2 linked regions of the Danio rerio genome follow. The protein of the gene in region 1 interacts with the protein of each later gene in a biochemical or structural test. Links are inferred from orthologs where the notes say so. Each region holds a gene or a part of one and is shown in the gene's direction. Other genes may lie near its edges.

Region 1 (4,577 bases):
CCATTTTCTCCAGATGTTGTTTTGTAAATAATCATTATTGTCTCCTATTTTATCAATGCCTTCTTTTTTTTAGAAATGTGCTTACTTTGCAAACTTTGCTTACTTTGTATAATTATAACCATATAGTTTATTTTGTGAACAAAACACATGACTAAAGGATGGTTTCCTAAAAAGATTTTGTAAGCTTTTCTATTAGCTTGACAAAAGTCCAACTAATAAAATTTACATGAAAACAATGAAACCATAATTCATTCATTCTCCTTCATCTTAGTCCCTTTATTCATCAGGGGACGCCACAGCAGAATGAACCGCCAACTTATCCAACATATGTTTTATACAGCGGATGCCCTTCCAGCTGCAACCTAGTACCAGGAAACATCCATACACACTCATTCACACTCATACACTACACCAATTTAATTTATTCAATCCACCTATAACACATGGCTTTGGTCTATGGGGGAAACCGGAACACCAGGAGGAAACCAACGCCAACACAGGGAGAACATGCAAGCTTCACACAGAAATGCCAACTGACCCAGCTGGGGCTCAAACCAGCGACCTTCTTACTGTGAGACGACAGTGCTAACCACTAAGCCACTGTGTTCCATAAACAGAAATAAAATGGAATACAGAAACTTGTGCAAAATAAAATATTTTTTCATATTTATTGTACAACATATAGATACATTTGGTACATAACATTTACAATAATAATTATATTATTTACAATGGTACCAATAAAGAAACAACACAAGAACAAAAAACAACAGAAATCAAAACAAAGAAATATGATATCAATAGGTTATCTAATCTGAGAATAGATGCAACAGATAATGAAATTGAAAATAAAAAGGGCAAAATAAAAAAGATAACAAAGATTGGGATATTTAATAGATTACACATGTTGTGCAAATTGTTTACGTTTTGAGTGCATTCTTGTTAAGTGAATCTGGAATTGTAAGTAAATTTTGATCTCTTGTATAAAATACACAAGTGGATTTTATATTTGAAAATTTTATTTATAAATATAAAATATAGGCAGGGCGAAGCAGTGGCGCAGTAGGTAGTGCTGTCGCCTCACAGCAAGAAGGTTGCTGGGTCGCTGGTTCGAGCCTTGGCTCAGTTGGCGTTTCTGTGTGGAGTTTGCATGTTCTCCCTGCGTTTGCGTGGGTTTCCTCCGGGTGCTCCGGTTTCCCCCAGAGTCTAAAGACATGCGGTGCAGGTGAATTGGGTAGGCTAAATTGTCCATAGTGTGTGAGTGCGTGTGTGAATGCATGTGTGGATGTTTCCCAGAGATGGGTTGCAGCTGGAAGGGCATTTGCTGCGTAAAAACTTGCTGGATAAGTTGGCGGTTCATTCCGTTGTGGCGACCCCGGATTAATAAAGGGACTAAGCAGAAGGAAAACGAATAAATGAATATAAAATTTACATAAAAATAGAATAGGGTTTATTGTGAAGCAGACATTAAATTTGTATCTACAACCCAAAATAATAAATGTTGGATTCACAGTAAAATTCTGTAAAATAATATTTGAGATAAAATAAATAAATAATAATCATGTTACAGTTTGGACCAATGACAGTCACGCATCAAAAGAGCGGAAAAACGCATAGTAGAAAAGCCTATGACGAAGAGCCGCAGGAAAGTGGGTGTGGTTATTGTAAAACCACGTGATTGTCACCCAATCAAATCATACAGTCACAGCAAAGAGGCGGGAGCAAAACAAGTGTGTTTTACATGAGCTTTGCTGCAGTCGCGGCTGTGTCCAGTTTATCGAAATGGCGGAGACGGCAGACAGAATGGAGGTAAGCTGAAGCTACTCAAGGCCGGTTCGCCAAAAACGCTTCTGATGCTAAATATCTCGTAACCGTATCAGAATCGACACGGCGATTTTATTTACGTCACACGCCGGTTCCGAATCTTTGGTCTGTGAACAGATTTGATTGCTGCGTATGTAGTTATCAGGTGGCTAGAAATGTGCGCACACGCATCTTGAGCATCCATTTTAGCCTGCCGCAGATAATTCATTCATTTCGCATCACGTGTATGCTAGTGCTAATGTGCTAAATTTGAGCTAGCTTCGAGTTTTTAGTTGTTGAGTGTAACCACAGATGAATTTTGAGATTAAATGTATGAATATTTCTGTCATGTTAGCTACCGTTAGCTCGCTGTTCAGTTTCCACGTGAGCACGCTGGCGGAGGACTTCAATGACTTATTGTTGGGCAGAGACCGCATGGGACTGATGGATAGGAGCTAACGTTACGCTTTTTTTTCCTCTCTGCTAATCACAGTGATTGGGTTTTTTAATAAAACATCCTGTATTGTTTACTATGATCTAGTACTTGCGTCGTGACTAAGTTTTCTTTTAGACCACTTTTCCTCAAATGTGTATAATTAAAAAGTAGAAAAATTTAAGCTTAAGAGGACTCTTCAAAGGTTAACGTTAGGCGTGTGAAGATAAAATATGACTTTTTTTGCTTAACTATCCATTTTAAAAAAAAATGTGTAAAATGGTTCATTGCCTGCTGTGATATTTGCCAAAAGTTGGAACTAAATTCAGAGGAAGCCACCGACTTTATGTAGTTCTGTGTAAAAACACTGTTTACTCAGGGTTATTTACACTTGGCATGTTTGGTTTAAACATGTTTTGGGTCATCTCTTGACTAGTACCTTATTGCTTGCTTGTTTGTTTTAATATACTGAAGATACTGCAAATGTTTGAGAAAAGCCCAGCTCATGACTTTACTTGCTTATTTACATTTTTCTTATCTATTGAAATTGAGGTGTCCCAGGGAGAGAGCTCAGCGAAACCTGCAGCTGAAGACATGACGTCCAAAGACTATTACTTTGATTCCTATGCACACTTTGGCATTCATGAGGTACTTTCTTGTTAGTTCATTAATCTCAGCATTAGTGGTGAAGTCAATTTAATTTATTTATAATTAATGTAAACCCATTGAATCTTCACAGGAGATGCTAAAAGATGAAGTTCGTACTTTGACGTACAGAAACTCCATGTTTCACAACAAGCATCTCTTCAAAGATAAAGTTGTGCTGGATGTGGGAAGTGGTACTGGCATCCTCTGTATGTTTGCAGCCAAAGCTGGAGCCAAGAAAGTTATTGGGGTGAGAAGTAGTCCCATGATTTATTTAAAGCATTTTTGTTACATTTAAGCCATTTATTTGTATGTGGTATTATTTGATCATGCTGTGTATTGTCAGATTAATTTATTAATTTGTTGGTCATTTATTCCTTAGATTGAGTGCAGCAGTATATCAGACTATGCTGTGAAGATTGTGAAGGCCAACAAGCTGGATCATAGTAAGGCCTTCTCAGAGCTTTTGGCATCTTCATTGTTAACTTATTTTCTCAGCATGTTTCAAGGGATAGTTCACCCAAAAATGAAGTTTTACTCCCTCTCAAGTGGTTCTAAACCTATCAGTTTCTTTTTTTCCTGTTGAACACCAAAGAAGATATTTTGAAGAAAGCTGTAAACTGGTAACCGTAGTGACAGGTTTGCATCTTTCTTCAAAATATCATCTTTTGTGTTCAACAGAAGAAAATCACAGGTTTAGAATGAGTGAGGGGAGGTTAAACAATGACCATTTTCAGTTTTGGATTAACAGTTTTGGCCTATACCCATTTTATTCTTTATGTACCTAAAATTTTTAACCATGTACTTTTTCCTGTCCAGTCGTCACTATAATTAAGGGCAAAGTGGAGGAGGTCGAGCTTCCTGTGGAAAATGTAGACATAATCATCTCTGAGTGGATGGGCTACTGTCTCTTCTATGAATCCATGCTTAACACCGTCATTTATGCCAGGGACAAATGGCTGGTGGGTGTATGCTAATGTCTTTTACCATGTTGAAACTGTTCAGTATAAAATCGTATGTGCTTTCTTGATTTAATCACTGTTCACGTTTTCCATTGTTGGCTTTCAGAAACCTGATGGCCTGATTTTTCCTGACAGAGCCACCCTCTATGTCACTGCTATCGAGGATCGGCAGTACAAGGATTACAAAATCCACTGTACGCATCAATCTCTTAATGCACTCTTGAGTCTGTTCAGCTTTCTTTAAAGCAGTAACTCATTTAATTGTTTCATATTTGCACTTTTTTAGGGTGGGAGAACGTGTATGGATTTGACATGTCCTGTATTAAGGAAGTGGCCATTACAGAGCCGCTGGTGGATGTTGTTGATCCCAAACAGCTTGTTAGCACTGCTTGCTTAATTAAGGTTTGTTTGCAACCTTTTATTTTCCAATGTTCACATAATCCCTGCTTTCCTCATTTAATATTCAATACGTTTTCTTGATTCCTTAGGAGGTGGACATCTACACCGTGAAGATTGAGGACCTGTCCTTCACGTCACCTTTCTGCCTGCAGGTGAAAAGAAACGACTACATTCATGCTCTGGTAACCTACTTCAACATAGAGTTCACTCGCTGCCACAAGAGGACAGGCTTCTCTACCAGTAAGTGCTGTGTGTGGTGTTCACCACAAAATCACTTTGTATTCACCACGAGTTTATTGTATTGAAGGATGGTTGAACCCTGTTTAAAGTGAGTT
Region 2 (4,397 bases), on another chromosome or scaffold:
ATTACATTTTGAAATAAGCTGTATATTGAGATGTGATGGAATTGATATTTGTTCAGTTCACCATGAAAAAATGTTTCTCTTCTTATCTAAGTTGGTCCTCTTACAGATCGTAAAACTAGACAAACTGTTTAAACTTATGTGGCTATGTTACGATAATTTTTAACCATTTTTTTACTCAACTTTACAAGGCTAAAAGTGCCAGTAGTTGAAGAAATGGCCCAAATACACTTCCTGAGGCCAAAGACTATAGCTAGAGAGTTTTTTTTTTTTGTTTTTTTTTTACAAATGTAAGTTTATAGATATGAGGGGAATAAACCCAGAATAGACTTAAAAACAAAGATATGCCTTGAGCCTACGAGTGGACAACACAATGATGAGTGAGGGATTTAAGATAAGACTAAGATTTATTTAAGATACATTTTATAAGATTTCTTTAACTGTACCTATACATTACCTAAATGTACACTCATACATTTGTATTCATTTAAGTTAGAAAATATATTTCATTTAATTTGAATTGCATCTTTACACCCAATTAGTTGAGTTATTAAATAAATAACCAAAAAATAAATAAATAAATAACCCAACAAGGCACCAAGCATTTAACCCAACTAGTTGAGTTATTCATGAATGATTAAATAAAGGTTAAATATAACCCAACTAAGTACTAAAAATTTTTAACTCAACAATTGGGTTAAATAAATAACTCAACTTTTTTTAGAGAGCAGTCATCCAGTTTGTAAGACCCGGATAAAATCTTAAAATCATACTTCACCTGTATACCTTGAAAGACAATGGAATAATATAAGGGAACTTTTTACAATATGGAATAAACCGATGGTGGCACAGTGGCTGTAGCGCTGTCCCTTCACAGCAAAAAGGTCGCTGGTTCGAGTCCCGGTTGGGTCAGTTCTGGAGTTTGCATGTTCTCCCCGTGTTCCCTGTGGGTTTCCTCCGGGTGGTCGAGTTTGAGTGTGTATATTGATGTTTCCCTGTACTGGGTTGCAGCTGGAAGGGCATCCGCTGTGTATTAATTTAAGCAGAAAACTAGCCTATATTAGATTGTATTAGTAGTGTTGTTGATTTTATCGTTAGTCCTCACCATTTAGTAGCAAATAGCCGAAAAGTCTCTGGGAATTGAACTGAAAGGGCTCATGAAGGCAGCAGATTCATGATTGTAGCTGCAATGTTTCCCGCTAGATGGCGAAACAACGAGTAAAATCACGACTTTTTTTCAAGTGCATTGTGGGTAAAGACGTTCGACGCACATGTGGCCACCTGATCAGTGCAGCAGTAGACCGGAGGAAAAGCGGGTCTGAGTTAACGCCAGCTATTCGTACAGTTAAAACAACCGCACAAAATAAGATAAAATGAGACCAGGTAAGTTATGTACACATTTCGATTTTAAAAGCTAAAGTCAACGCTATAAAATATAATCCAAGTAACGCTGTTTATAAGTGTTGGTTTAGAGTTAGCCGGATGAGTTAGCCACGCACTTGCAGTTTTGTGAAAGAAACGCTCGTTCTCTTTAAATGTCATGGCATTGTTATTTAATTTATTACAAGCTTTGGTGTAGAATTGTTAAAAAGTGATTTTGTTGTAAATAACGTTATTTTTGTACATGTAAATAACGTTACACATGTTACAACGCTGCACGTGCGTGCGACCGAGCCATGCTGTTACACGCGGTGCTGAAGCCCCACATGGCTTTTAACTAGTTAGAGATAATAACCAGTTTGCTTTTGTTTCTGAAACTAGTTGTCTAGTTAATGTGTTTTATTTTAAATGGTGAGTTTTGTGTAACTTTATTCAACTTTTTGTACATTTGAGTTTGTGCGTTGTCGAGTTATTAGAAGTAACGTTAGAGGAATACACGTTTTTTCCTCTTGTACAATAAGTAGTTTTGTTGTTGTGGATGAACAAAGACATAAATACACCCAAAACAGAATGTATTTTGAGCGAGATGTAACTGTTGTTTGTTGTGTGGTCTCCAAAAGTGGGGTATATTCACATGGACTTGAGGTAAAGTTAGTTTTACATTCACACACAGGGACTTTCTCAAAAATATTATTTGCAAATTCTAAATAATGAAATCATTTTAGCAGCGAGTGACTATCAAAGTACAATATTGCTCACAGTTAAATGCGTAGTGCTTGTGTTATTTACAGTCAAATACAGTGTCAATGTATTCGAGTCATACTTGCTTGTAATTTCAGACCGAATATTAAAAGTACAAACGTTATAGTAAACAATATAGGAAACATGTCACAAGTTGTCACTGAATGAATGTGTGAATATAAACTTTTTCAATCATTTAACCCTCTTAATGCTGTCATTTAGCGCTCTAATATCATGACATTCGACTTCTTATTTGCCAAGAGAAGGGTTATTTTGTATTTATGAAACATCAACTAAAACCATGTTGTCTGAACAGCAGCTGTTCATTGAGTGAATGCAGAAAAGGTTTTTGCAATTATTTTTTATATTAAATATTAAAGATAGACTAAATTTTTTAATATGGATTTAATTGATTTTATATGGATTAAAGTTTTTATATGGATTCTGACTAAACTTTTATATTTTTTACGAAACGTTTTTGACACCTAATAGTAATTCATTCTAAAATGACACGAAATGAAAAGTAACTTCTTTTAATTGGTTCTGTACCAAATATATATGCTACAAATGTAACCATTAAAAAAAGTTAATATTTTGAGGCTTTTTAAGCATTTGGAAAGTTTTAGCTTTTTACAAAATGAATGTTTTGTTTTTGTATGTCTTCAGGCCCAAATGTGGTTACTAATGGATTTCATAAATTTGTGTGAATGCAATTTTGATTTATTAAAAGTTTCCATAAATGCAGTACAGCAGACTTGTTTTTGGTACTTCGGACAGTGCAAAGTTAAAAATGTGCTCTACCATACCACCCGGTGAAAACAAGAAACTATAAAAAATGTTTTTCTGGTTATTGTAAGGAGTCACTTGCAACTTTAAACTGGTTTAGTAATAGTATGATCCACAAATGCGTTTTTTCTCCTTTTCTTTTAAATGTTTTGCTCTTTCCCTTCATCAAAGTAATATTTCTCTTCAGGATTCAGCCCAAGGGGAGGTGGTGGTCGTGGAGGATTTGGTGGAAGGGGACGAGGCGGAGGAGACCGCGGAGGAAGAGGAGGATTTCGAGGAGGCAGGGGTGGTTTTGGTAAGCAGGATATTAAAGCAGTTTTATTTTACTCCCATATATATATATATATTGCATGTGCCTTATGGCTTTTTTTAAAAAAGAATTTAAAAGTGATTTTAAATGTGTAGAAAATCGTATTACATTTTAGCAAAGTGTATTTTATAAAAAAACAGTACTCTGGCTTAATTTATAAAATGATGAATGATTTTACAATTATACTACATATTAAATGATTATTTCCTTCGCACTAACAATGGTTTGAAAGATAGATAGATAAATAGAGCGTGGATATTAAGCATTGAACGCATCACCATTTTTTTTTTTTTGGAAAATGTATTTCTAAAGGTGCTGTTGACTTGAATCTTTCCCTGGATGTTAGTAACAAGCAAAAAATCCATATATGTAAAACAAATCTAATTAGTTTACAAATTAGGTTATGCCAAATAAAATGAAGTGAGCAGGGAAAAAGTATTGAACACATGAAGAAAGGGAACCACAGTGAAAGCCCAGGCAGCAGTTGAAATCTCTCAGTAGTTCTTCAGCAACCCTCTGCCCTTCCTCATTGTAAATTAATATTAGCTGCTTTAGTCTAAAATCTACATTATCAAGTAGGGTTGGGTTGATAGATGATGCCATCATCCATTGTCGATGACCGATAGACATCACAATCCTCCACCCCTGTCGCAAATCTGCTCGCAAAAAATACACACTCAGGCCCCGTTTACAAATGGCATTTTAGAACGAAAACGATCCATGTAAACTGGCGTTTCATCTAGCGCTTCCACATTATACCCCTGAAAACGCACATAACATGACCACAAACACACACAAGCACACTCTGTCATGCGCTGCAGTGTAGGCTATACACGCGTCTTAACGCTGAGCTCCAGCAGTCACCCCCAGAGAGCAGTGCACATCGGACAGTTTATCAAGGATGTAGCATTGGATCTTGTCTCGCTATAGTTGTTAAATGTGATGTTTATTTAGTCCTGTCTCTAATCTAACGACTCTTCGGTCTTTTGAATCTATCAGGTAACGTGTCACAGCATCAGTACACTGCTTCAATCTTTTGCTTTCATGCTTGTAATTTTAGCGAAAACCTCAGATACTGTTGGTTAGTTGCTGTTGGTTGTGCACCTTTTTTACCAACCAAGTTTGTCGACCAAGTTTGCCATTATAACGACACTGATCACTCTATTCATGTCAGAGTCCTGCA

The links.
Region 2: of the proteins of prmt1 (region 1) and fbl, one has a biochemical effect on the other in vitro, tested with the Homo sapiens proteins (2 studies listed by BioGRID). The link is inferred for Danio rerio from reciprocal best matches to the Homo sapiens genes PRMT1 and FBL.

Annotation. Positions count from the first base shown.
Region 1 is NC_133178.1:31,171,898-31,176,474, reverse strand, and holds the start of prmt1 (protein arginine N-methyltransferase 1), read left to right. Parts: upstream 1-1,691; 5' UTR 1,692-1,782; coding exon 1,783-1,809; intron 1,810-2,788; coding exon 2,789-2,884; intron 2,885-2,975; coding exon 2,976-3,131; intron 3,132-3,263; coding exon 3,264-3,327; intron 3,328-3,700; coding exon 3,701-3,843; intron 3,844-3,949; coding exon 3,950-4,037; intron 4,038-4,129; coding exon 4,130-4,245; intron 4,246-4,331; coding exon 4,332-4,482; intron 4,483-4,577. UniProt on the Homo sapiens protein: Arginine methyltransferase that methylates (mono and asymmetric dimethylation) the guanidino nitrogens of arginyl residues present in proteins such as ESR1, histone H2, H3 and H4, FMR1, ILF3, HNRNPA1, HNRNPD, NFATC2IP, SUPT5H, TAF15, EWS, HABP4, SERBP1, RBM15, FOXO1, CHTOP, MAP3K5/ASK1, MICU1 and NPRL2.
Region 2 is NC_133191.1:46,605,927-46,610,323, reverse strand, and holds the start of fbl (rRNA 2'-O-methyltransferase fibrillarin), read left to right. Parts: upstream 1-1,278; 5' UTR 1,279-1,370; coding exon 1,371-1,380; intron 1,381-3,091; coding exon 3,092-3,199; intron 3,200-4,397.